Linked DNA regions of Arabidopsis thaliana. The protein of the gene in region 1 interacts with the protein of each later gene in a pairwise test. Each region holds a gene or a part of one and is shown on either strand. Other genes may lie near its edges.

Region 1 (8,024 bases):
GGACGCGGCTAGAAGCGAGGCTCAGATGGTTATCTTCGAGGCCATGGACGATCTTTTCAAGAAAACCGGTCTTAAACCTAAAGACGTCGACATCCTTATCGTCAACTGCTCTCTTTTCTCTCCCACACCATCGCTCTCAGCTATGGTCATCAACAAATATAAGCTTAGGAGTAATATCAAGAGCTTCAATCTTTCGGGGATGGGCTGCAGCGCGGGCCTGATCTCAGTTGATCTAGCCCGCGACTTGCTCCAAGTTCATCCCAATTCAAATGCAATCATCGTCAGCACGGAGATCATAACGCCTAATTACTATCAAGGCAACGAGAGAGCCATGTTGTTACCCAATTGTCTCTTCCGCATGGGTGCGGCAGCCATACACATGTCAAACCGCCGGTCTGACCGGTGGCGAGCCAAATACAAGCTTTCCCACCTCGTCCGGACACACCGTGGCGCTGACGACAAGTCTTTCTACTGTGTCTACGAACAGGAAGACAAAGAAGGACACGTTGGCATCAACTTGTCCAAAGATCTCATGGCCATCGCCGGTGAAGCCCTCAAGGCAAACATCACCACAATAGGTAATAAACACACATCATTTTATTTCACCTACATATATACACTAACAATGATATACACGGTGAAAACTATATCAAGGGGTGGGCATTAAATATTATTGGTCGGCTCCGTTTTGACTTCAATTCGGTTTTAAATAACAGAATAATTACTCTATCTCTATATATGTTTTGTTATTATGGTTAAATGTACTTTCTTGGTATATGTCTCACTTCTATGGAAATTTAGGTTACTCTATTCGGTTGCATTCAATTCGGTTTGTTCGATATAAATTTTATTATGATTTAAAGCAAAGTTTGGTTTGGCTTAGGTTTAAGGAATTATGGTACGTTTTTGGTTTTGATAGATGAATTTGTTTGAACAGGTCCTTTGGTCCTACCGGCGTCAGAACAACTTCTCTTCCTCACGTCCCTAATCGGACGTAAAATCTTCAACCCGAAATGGAAACCATACATACCGGATTTCAAGCTGGCCTTCGAACACTTTTGCATTCACGCAGGAGGCAGAGCGGTGATCGACGAGCTCCAAAAGAATCTACAACTATCAGGAGAACACGTTGAGGCCTCAAGAATGACACTACATCGTTTTGGTAACACGTCATCTTCATCGTTATGGTACGAGCTTAGCTACATCGAGTCTAAAGGGAGAATGAGGAGAGGCGATCGCGTTTGGCAAATCGCGTTTGGGAGTGGTTTCAAGTGTAACTCTGCCGTGTGGAAATGTAACCGTACGATTAAGACACCTAAGGACGGACCATGGTCCGATTGTATCGACCGTTACCCTGTCTTTATTCCCGAAGTTGTCAAACTCTAAACTGAAAACGTCTTTGAACGGTTTAGTAACGGTTTGATTTTGTGTTACGGTTTAGGTTTATTTGGTCTCGGGATTTGGTTTAAAGGGGATTGAGAAATGGGAAGTTAGAGAGAAGAAAAAGCAAAGCATAAATGTTTGTATTTAATTGCTCTGCATATACTTAAATCTCTGCTTTTCATTTGGGGTATTTTTTAGTTTCTCGTGCTGTAATTAATAACTTGTGGTGTACTCAAATAAGAATATTTCTCTCTGTTTTATTATTTTTAAATTGGAGAATAAACTTCTTTGTTTTCATCGCTGCCTTATATATATTGCTTCTGATTTGGGTTGACCATCCATCCAGTTTGCAGGATCCGATAGCAGTAAATATGTCCACTATGAATGTGGTGCATGGACAGTCATCTCTTACAGACTTTTGCATGTAAAATTATATGTTGCATGCATGATGGTATGTAATGAATGGATTGGATGATGTCATGACTCATGATGATTAAAAAATACGTGAGTCCATATATTTCTCCAATAGTATTAAAATACGAGTACATCAAACATGTTTTCCAACACTGCCACAAAATGTATTGGACCTATATCAATAAGTGGGCCTTGATTTCCCAGCTTATGATGGCTTAGGTTTCATTGTAAATGGTGAAACAGGCCTTCCTAGTGAGGATGCAGGTCATCAATAGCAAGGTTTACCAACGGAGGTTTAATCCTCATGAAGTGATGAAGAAGATGTCGAAGAGTTGGAGTTTGAGAAGAGATGTTTGGAAAGGTATTCTAAGAAGGATGCAGAGGATGATAATGAGATTGATGATGTTAACGACGTTGATCAACAAGCGCTTTTGCCATCAGTCCGTACGTGACCCTAAACTGTGGCTGGTGAAATGTGGCGTTATGAGTTTTTGTTCTCTATGAATTCCAAGTATTAAGGATATCTCAACAGACAGGACAAAAGTTTAAGGTTAATGATCTTTTATCAAATTCAATCAATAATCAGTCTCCGAAATCTTAGTGTATACAAATGGCGAAAAAAATATAAACATCATTTTCCAAGTACACGAATAATGCCAAGAGTGGTAAATGATATCCATCAAGCCTCTTATCTTCTCAAGAAAAAGGTTGATGCCTTTGTTTTTGAAGTTTTCTGCATATTGATGTGGTCCAGCACAAACCATTGTTATCCACTTTATCTTTTATTTTTCTTTAACCCCAACGTTTTCTACTTTAGCACTTCTACTTATCTCTAGTAATTCTCCATTTATCACTTCTACTTATTGTCCACTTGATTCTTGAGCTTCATATTGTTGAATTCGTTTCTACTTTTCTGCCATCTTCTCTTTATATGCTTAAATTGTATATTTTTACGCTTGCTGTATAGTTTTTTAATGATTATCTTTAGTCCTAATAATTGGGGATTTAATTGATTTTTTTCCTTTGTATAAAAATATACAGTAAAGATATTAATACAATTTCATTGTCTCTAAAGTTTTAAGATAACTATGTAGAAAATAAAGATGTAGACATATCATACTATAATTAATGTCATTACTCATTATCTTTAAACGTAAACCGACACAACCAATCAAAACCTCGCTTTCCACATAATCACGAGAATAAGCCACACTAATCGACTTTTTCCATGGAAAATAATGAAATCTACCAAAAATGAATGAATGGTAACAAAATCCAAAAATAAGGAGTGATTGGGTCAGTGAAAACGACAAGTGGACCATAAAGATATCCATCTGATTAAGAAGCTGACCAATCACAACATTAAGAATAGGATCAACTTGAAGAACTCGACCAATCAGAATCGAGATAAGATCTCTTCATGGCCCTCATGGGGTATAAGCAACCAAAAAGGTGCATCAAATTTTCACTTTAAATTATACAAGAAGAAAAAAGCTCACATCGTGTGGGACATGTACTAGCCAACAACGCCTCTACACTTAACCCTTCAATGCCTCATAAAATGAAAATGTAGTCTCTCTTTTTATAACCACTTCTCGAAAACTGAAACCTTTGTAGAGAGAACCCATAGTTCGATAAAACATTCTTTTTGCAACTGAGACTTGGCAACTTGGTTTTACTCAAAGTAAGATTTCTTCTTGTTGATGGTGATAAGTTCAATATGATGAAAAGTTTGGCTAGTGCGGTTGGAGGGAAGACGGCGAGGGCATGTGATAGCTGCGTGAAGAGGCGGGCACGTTGGTATTGCGCAGCTGATGATGCCTTTCTTTGCCATGCTTGTGACGGTTCGGTCCACTCGGCAAACCCTCTTGCTCGTAGGCACGAGAGAGTTCGCTTGAAATCGGCTAGCGCCGGAAAGTATCGCCATGCCTCGCCGCCTCACCAAGCCACGTGGCATCAGGGATTTACACGTAAAGCTCGGACCCCACGTGGAGGCAAGAAGAGCCACACGATGGTTTTTCATGATCTTGTGCCGGAGATGAGCACGGAGGATCAAGCGGAGAGTTACGAGGTGGAAGAGCAGCTCATATTTGAGGTGCCGGTGATGAACTCGATGGTTGAGGAGCAATGCTTTAACCAATCCCTGGAGAAACAGAATGAGTTTCCAATGATGCCCTTAAGTTTCAAGAGTAGTGACGAAGAAGATGACGACAACGCTGAGAGTTGTCTGAATGGTTTGTTCCCAACCGACATGGAACTAGCTCAGTTCACAGCTGACGTGGAGACTCTACTCGGTGGAGGGGATCGAGAGTTTCATTCCATAGAAGAACTAGGGTTAGGTGAGATGTTAAAGATCGAAAAAGAGGAGGTGGAGGAAGAGGGAGTTGTGACAAGAGAAGTGCATGATCAAGATGAAGGTGATGAGACATCCCCATTTGAAATAAGCTTTGACTACGAGTACACACACAAGACCACATTCGATGAAGGAGAAGAAGATGAGAAAGAAGACGTGATGAAGAATGTGATGGAGATGGGAGTGAATGAGATGAGTGGTGGGATTAAAGAAGAGAAGAAGGAGAAGGCTCTTATGCTTAGATTGGACTATGAATCAGTCATTTCCACTTGGGGAGGCCAAGGGATCCCATGGACCGCCCGGGTGCCATCTGAAATAGACCTCGACATGGTTTGTTTCCCAACCCATACCATGGTACGTCTATCACGCATTGCCTTGTTCTATCTACTATATTTTATACGACCGGATAGTTTATGACTAAACTCAAACAAATATCATACTAGCAACAAGTTTTTATCAATGGACCGCAACCTTTGTTATTACTATTTAGTTTTGATATAAAGAAAGCATTGTCTCTAATTAACAAAATTTATTTGTGTTGTGAATATTAAGGGTGAAAGTGGAGCAGAGGCTCATCATCACAACCACTTCCGCGGCCTAGGGTTACACCTAGGAGATGCTGGGGATGGAGGAAGAGAGGCTAGGGTTTCAAGATACCGAGAGAAAAGGAGGACAAGGTTGTTCTCCAAGAAGATAAGGTACGAGGTACGTAAATTGAATGCAGAGAAAAGGCCTCGCATGAAAGGAAGGTTCGTCAAGAGATCTTCAATTGGTGTTGCTCACTAAAGAACTTAATTAATTATGGATATTAAATTACTTTGCTCTCATCTTGCTTTTTTGTTGCTATAGTTTTGGTGATTGTTAGCTTTCTTTTTCTGCATTCATAGAGAATTTTGCACGTTTTTGTGAGCTACGTATGTACATAAATATATCACCAAAAAATGTGACTATCTTGTAAGCACTGATTTATATAGTCGATATAACGTGAATTTTGATTGCTGGTAATCTGCTGTCACCAAAATAAACATATGGATTGTCACAACTCACAAATATCCCACTGAAATATCTTAATTTGTTTTATTTTATTCATATCAGCTATAATATTATTAATTTATCAAATTGTCCGCAGCTGAGGATTTGAATCCAAAATCTTCTCAAAACATTAAGGTACACTATAGTTTTTTCTGACAATGGTTCAGTTTTTAGTCATCAGAAAAATTCGTTTAACAACAGGTGTTGAGGGACACTTGAACAAACAATAACAATTATAAATTGAATTGTTGCAATGGAAAACACTGATCGGGAGATATCTTTATTCTTTACAAAGTTATTTCCAATATCAATTTTTCAAGAGTTAAGTAGAAGAGTACTTGGCTTGGGAAAATTATAATTTTGTAAGAAAAGTGATATGAAAATTATATAATTGTGTGGTGTTTTGTATTTCAGATTTTAAATTGGTTATAGTTGTATTTATGCAATCAATTTTTATCTTCTTTTTTTTCATAATTTCCTTTGTTTGTTGTACTAAATAGCCTAATATTAACCTTATATATGTTCAAACCAACAAATATGTTTTCACACTTTAAAGCAGCAGTAATTTGGCAACACTTAAGAAGAAAATATCCAAGATATGATTTGGCAACACTTTAGAAGAAAATATCCTTCAATATCTTGGATCGTGAGGCCCTTTGGACATATTAATGATGACAATTTTGAATTGATAGAAAAAACAAGTTAAGGGTTTGTGCTTTAACGTGTTTGGTCCTTAGTCATAGTGTCATACGATTCGAGCTGCTGGGGACACTCTTTCGCTTCTGAGCTGGTTTGAAGTGGGCACTCAGATATTATTACTCAGAAACAATGAAATAATTGTATTTAGTCCTGCATGGCTTTTCATTCATAACAAAGTAATATCATATAAAATAATATATTAATTAAGGACAAAAGAGAAAAAAAAAACTAATTTGAAACAGAGTGAGTTTATGATAACCTAATGATTGACAATAATACTAAATTTGATTTGCTTTAGTTTTTTTTTCTCCTTTTATATAGAAAGTGAAATTATTAATTAAAAAGACAGAATTATGATAATAATAATGCAATCTTCTGGTTCTAACCAAGTCTGAGCTCTAAGCCAACCTCGTTGATATCGACTTGATCATCAAACCCAAGATTTGGAGAACTTTGATTAAATGGAGCTTCCCTTCGGCTCTCCACATTCTCCAACGTGAAGTGGCCATAACCATGCGTAGCACTAGAACTTGGGAGTTGCCACATGTCATGACTACATTCACCTAGTTGGTTCACGGATTCACGTTTGAATCGGCCAGTTTGCGTCTTGCTCTTGTTAGCGTTTACACGTGTGGCCAGATTCTCCGAACTGTCGCCGCCGGTTGTTGGATCTTTAGCCACGTGGCGTATATCGTAAGTCCTGTGGGGAGGAATGATCTGGTGCGACGCGGATGCACTTGGAAGAGGTGTGTGAGTTATGGGTAAGCCGTTGAGCACGGCGTCAACAGCTGCTTGGCACTGAGCCCAGTTCCCTGACCACATCAAACCAACCGAACCATCTACAGGGTTCACGATCCGACCACAAGCCTCGTACAGAAGTGACCTAAATATTGCTACAAAACACAATGAAGGTAATGTAATCAACCGGGAAAATGAAAAACATATGTGTGATGTGATGTGTGTCTGTGACTGTGCATGTAAGAATTTTATGTTAAAATCTATAATATACATTTAGATCCTAGTTTGATACTACTCTGTTACCAAATCTTGAAGATCTCTCATAATCCAAAATACATCGTCACTTTTTCTGTACTATTTACTCGCAAGATAATTCAATGGACCGTTGTGTAGTAAAAAAAAAGGTAAAAGAGATAATTCAGTACCGGGACGAAGGTGATCAGGACCGGATTCGATGAGGTTAAGAAGACCGGCTCGACCGTAGAACTTAGCAAGGAAGAGTGTAGCATTGGCTTGAGAGTCTGCGGATTTGATCCATTGAAGGCATGGTCGAATGGTGCAATCTTGGTTGCAACCTTTGCGTAGAACCCTACACCCGTTGCAGCTGATTCTCATATTCCTTTATATGTTTATTAGTGACAAATATACGTATGATGTGTGTTTGTGTTCGGAAATGGAACTCAAGGAAGTTGTGAACAATTTGAATTTATAAGGAAGAAGTTACTCATGAGTCATAAGTGAATGAGCTGGTATTTTTCAACTTTTGTGTGTTCTTGGAGAAAGTGGTGGAAAAAAACTGGTGCAGTCCAGGCTTTTATAAAACAAATACATTAAAGATAATTACTTTCTCAAGAGAGAAATTAGTAAAATATTTGTATAGATTTCTCAAAAGATAGAGAAAAGGCCAAGAAATGAGGGGAAGGAGGTTGTGTGTTTCAGTGAAGTTGGCATTTTGTTTTGGCAAAAGTTGGGGAGTTCCTTCTTCGGGAATACCAACTTCTCTCTCTTACACTTTTTTTTCTTCTATGGGATTTGCCATCCATGCATTCCAATATTACGACTTTTACCACTCACCTAGTCACCTTTATCTATAGTATAGTAATTAATTACGTCTCACCCAATGACAAACCTCTTCTTCAACGCTCGTTTCTCAATCCTCATCATATCAACATTGATTCCAAGGTCTTATGACTCTCTATGCAGTGCAAGCTACTTTTGAAATTCAAATTAAAGCATGAAAACCATAAGATAAGAGATGAAAATGTGAGGGTGTTTACGTAATTGAATGTTAGCAGATGTTCAGAGGGGTGGAGATACGAGGAAACTTTGGAGATGAAAAGTGGGAGACATGCACGAGAACCACCCACAGAGATGATACCGACAAAAAAAAAAAAACCAAAAGAAA
Region 2 (4,739 bases), 3.6 Mb from region 1:
GACAACACTTTTTAATATATATTTTTTGCAATTTTAAAATATAATTTTGATGGCACACTACTGATAATCATGAGTCAGGTAAATTACTTTATCATGAAGATATTTCCTTAGGATATCCGAATTTGCGGTTCTATTTATAATAGGAATTGATTACGTCATGTGAGTATTTGCATATTCTTGATTTTACGGACCAATAACTCGAAAATGGGTCCATAGTTACTGTATATCGTTTGGTAATAACTGTGATCATTAAAATCGTAATTTGAATAAAATGTGTATAGTAACATAAAATATCGCACGATGGTCTCTGTATCTCATGTATTACATTTTAACATTTACTTAGCGTGGCTGAAATTTGGGATTGCAGTGATGGTTGATTTACCGGTTGTTCGAAATGTAAAACTACCATATGAATCTTATAAGCCACTGCAATTTACATGACGTATCACATTCACATATATTAGAGAAACTTAGATTCACTAGGTTAATTAGTGTTTCTAATTACAAAGTAGAAAAAAGTTTGAGATCATATAACATAAAATATTGTAGTCTTTTAGTAAAAGTGGTTGTAATACATGTGCGATAAGATTGTTTTTTAATAAATCCTTAAATGAGCCCTATAATTACTACTCATGTTATAACGAGCTAATAGAACATTACTTGACTATTACTTCACTACTTGTCGAGTTGAAGCTATATATTTGCACCTCTTGGTTTTGTTGTTGGTTTTCATATTTCTTTTTGAATTGTTAAACCTCGTATATGGTTTTCTGAAATCTTTATGTCCCGTGTCTTTAAATTTTAAATCTAAAATTTACTTTAAGAAAAGTACAATAACAACCCTATAAAAATTTGAGTCAATTGAGACGGAAGAACTATGTACTTTATAGATTTCTCAGTATTCTTCCACTGATAATAATCAGATATATAATCATTCCTAGAAATCTCACTTTAGTTCGTCTTATAATCAAACCCTAAGTCCTAGCATATCTCTTCCATACGTAGTCATCATTAAAGTGGTGTTTTTAAGATATTTTTTTCCCCCTGGAAAAGATAACGTTAGTTTTATAAGATAAAAGAAGATGATGATGTAAGAAAACAAATACTTTAGGGGAAAGAGAGATAAATGACAATCATTGTGTGGTTGAACGTATAATATAGTTACTAAACAACAAATAACTAATGAGCTATAGGGGTCGAAGTTTGACAACAACAACAACAAAAAAAAGAAGCTATAGGGGTCGAAAAAACTTTCTTGCATTGTGGATAATCTCTCAATACCAAAAGTAGATTTTGCTGGTAACGAATATAGTAGTCACAATTGTCCATTTCAGATGGGAGTGAATTTCCCATATGGGTTCTTTCGTGAAGGAATGGGTACATTATATTTGCTATTCAAGAACACTAATGGGACGACCCATTCTTAGCCCTGAACCAATCTGCGACATGAACCGGAGTTCAAAAGAACCAAATCGGTACTAACCGAATGAATCATGCAAAAGTAAATAAAAACAAAAATAAAATGTCAAGAGAAAGCATTTAAGTCCGTGAAAGTGAGAAAAAAGAGATAAGAAGTTGCAGTGTCCCTTGTCCACCCAATCCACAATTTCTGTTTTTATTTATCTTTTTTTTTTTTGGGCTATTTATCTACCTATACTTTTGTTTATTTCTTTGCCCAAAAAAAAATACTAGCTTTTTTTTTGTCTCCAATTTCTAAAGTATTATTTTATTTTTGTTTTTTTATTCTTCATGAGTGGTACCAAAATTGATTTTTTGGATCTATTAGTTAGGTTATCTTCAGCTATCTCTGATTTTTTTTCTTATATTCGTCTAAATCTATATACCATATCGTTTTGTCCATGGTCCAAGTTCAACGTGCATTAAATGTTATATTCGGTCGAATTTGAAAATATGCAGAATAATACATAAGCTTCGGTGGTTGAAGTCTTGAAGATGAACTCATATCAGTATGACTAATATAGTACTATTTGGTACCCATTGTTATAATTTCAGTGTTAAACGTTATCTATACAAATGAGCAAAAGGGAAATATACACACAAAAAATCAGTACTAACTATCTTTAACATCATTTTTTCAAGTATATGCATGATGTTTATATCGAATTATGGGTAGTTGGACAAAAATAAACCTCTGTAAGAAAATATCGAAAAAATATTAGTTACCTATCGTTACGAAATTGAAACGTTACAACTTACAAGTGAAAAACGACTCGAAAAATATTACTTTGAAAATCTGCCGTTTCAAACTAATATTTTTCTCCATTCTTACAAACGTTACAAACATATTAAATTATAAATTAAACAAAAGAAGACAACACCTTACGTTTCTTTTTCAGAAAGTGCAATTTATGTAACTGATATTTTTTATTTGATTACACAAAAAGAAACTTATTAACTTCGGAACGATAAGTTATTCTTTGACAGTAGTAGTATAATCAAGTCCTAAATAAAAGTCAAACGCTACAACATTCGATGATTAACTGCTAAAAACTATGGTTTATTGGCTTATCACATGATCTAAAACGAGTAAGAAAATTAAATGCAACTTAAATTATATGAATCAGTAAGAACAAAAACAATGTCAAAATCATCGGTCCCTGATCTCCGGTGCCGGCACCCACCCGTTCAAATCAACTATTTAATTTCCGACCATCCTATTACTCTATTCCATTAAATTTTTAAACTCCAAAAATAACAAAAATTAAATAAAGTAAACGTCAGAGATGCCCCAGGCAACCACAGTCAAATTTGCAACAATATGGTTACAAATCTTTAAATAATATTATTATTCTTATCATTAATCAACTCCCAAATGACAGTCCAATTAAATAATCACAAAACATCATAAAAGTGACCAAAATTAAATAATAACAATTGTTTTTTGGGTTTCACATGTTTTATAAGCAAAGCCAGTGTGGTGGACCTAACTCTTCACGCTGTCCCGAAAAAGACTCTTCTCTTCTCTCTTCCTCTTTCCTTCACACAACTCTCTCATTCTACTCTCTGTTTTTTTTCTTTAATCATAACATTTTTTTGAAGAACAGAGATTCTTTTTGTTTGTGTAAGAGATGGGAAATTGTCAAGCGGTTGATGCGGCTGCGTTGGTTCTACAACATCCTGATGGCAAGATCGATAGATATTACGGTCCTGTATCCGTTAGTGAGATCATGCGTATGTATCCTGGTCACTACGTTTCTCTTATTATTCCTTTGCCGGAGAAGAATATTCCGGCGACAACAACAACAACAGATGATAAGAGTGAGAGAAAGGTTGTGAGGTTCACGCGCGTGAAACTTCTCCGACCAACGGAGAATCTTGTACTTGGTCATGCTTATCGTCTCATCACTTCACAAGGTTTGTTCTTGTATATTTGTTTTTGTTTAGCTTGTGTCTGTTTGTGTTCTTGTAATGGGTTTCTGATTAAATTAGCGTTTGATTTGTTTTCAGAGGTTATGAAGGTTTTAAGAGCCAAGAAGTACGCGAAAACAAAGAAACACCAAAGTGAAACGAGTAAGGAGAAGAAGAAGCCATCATCGGAGAAGAAGATTGATGAAGAATCCGACAAGAATCAGAATCTGGTACGGAATCTTTACTTAGAATTTAAGATATGGTTTAGCTTCAAGAATCAATTTTCACTCGAATAATTAAAGTAATTAGTTTAAAGATTTTACTCTATTTCTTTCCCCAAATTAATATAAAATTATGAAAATTAATGGGTTTGTGTTTTTCTTTGTATAGGAAACGAAAGATGAGAAGCAACGTTCAGTGTTAACGAATTCAGCTTCATCGAGATCAAAAACATGGAGGCCATCATTGCAGAGCATCTCTGAAGCTACGAGTTGATGTTTGGGTTTTACGTGAGGGACAAGAAACGTAGTCTCTGTGTGTGAATCATTCAGAAGATGGAATCTGAAGAAGAAAGAGATATAAACATTATTGAATAAACTCTTCTCTTATGTTCCTTTCTGGTTATAATTTACATAGGAGATGAAAATTTTATAGATTAAGATGTAAAAAGAACTATGCAGAGATTAAGAACTAAGTCCCTTTTTTGTCCTGTTAATGTATATATGTGCTCCATGTGAAGAAATCAATCAAAAAATAGATTGTAAAAACATACGTTTTTGTTGGTGTTTACTGGTTTACACAAATTCTTGGAATAAAGTTCAAAAAACTTTAGTTAAATGAGTCCAAAAACATTTGATTTAGATGGTTATGTGAGGTATAAATGGTTGTAAGAATTGCATTGAGTTGGATTGATCATTGGTAGGTACACATCCTTTCATGCATTTATGGGATGGTTTTTTAAGAAAATAACCAATTTTATTTGAGATTATTAGTTATTTTTCTTCAGAGAAGTAGTAGACTTTCTCAAAATTTATATTTCTTTGAATGGAAAATCAAATTGAATTTACATTGTCTTTTTTTTTTATAACTACTTTTTTCATTTTTTTAGCAAATAGTATAACATAGATGAGCTAAGTAAACCAACAAGGATGGGCATTTGCATCAAACCCATACCAAACCAAAAAATTGAACCGATATTATGAATCAAGAATTTAAGATATCCTTGAAATAAAAAATCTGAAAATCCAACTGAAGCCAGCCAATGTTTTTAGACTCTATAAAAAGATATCTGATTAATAAATTGTTACTTTTAATTTTAATTTTTTTTTAATCCAGAAAACAAAAAATCAATGGTCAAAACATACATAGAA

Evidence for each region.
Region 2: the proteins of BBX14 (region 1) and AT1G60010 interact in a two-hybrid assay, tested with the Arabidopsis thaliana proteins (one large-scale study listed by BioGRID).

What each region holds. Positions count from the first base shown.
Region 1 is NC_003070.9:25,706,243-25,714,266, reverse strand, and holds BBX14 (B-box type zinc finger protein with CCT domain-containing protein), read left to right. Parts: upstream 1-3,277; 5' UTR 3,278-3,517; coding exon 3,518-4,504; intron 4,505-4,702; coding exon 4,703-4,936; 3' UTR 4,937-6,092; downstream 6,093-8,024. Other genes in the region: KCS6 (3-ketoacyl-CoA synthase 6), read left to right, coding at 1-578, 938-1,386; AT1G68526 (uncharacterized protein), read left to right, coding at 2,029-2,237, 2,317-2,398; LBD42 (LOB domain-containing protein 42), read right to left, coding at 6,263-6,774, 7,045-7,234.
Region 2 is NC_003070.9:22,094,785-22,099,523, reverse strand, and holds AT1G60010 (D-ribose-binding periplasmic protein), read left to right. Parts: upstream 1-2,903; 5' UTR 2,904-3,089; coding exon 3,090-3,375; intron 3,376-3,468; coding exon 3,469-3,599; intron 3,600-3,759; coding exon 3,760-3,864; 3' UTR 3,865-4,239; downstream 4,240-4,739.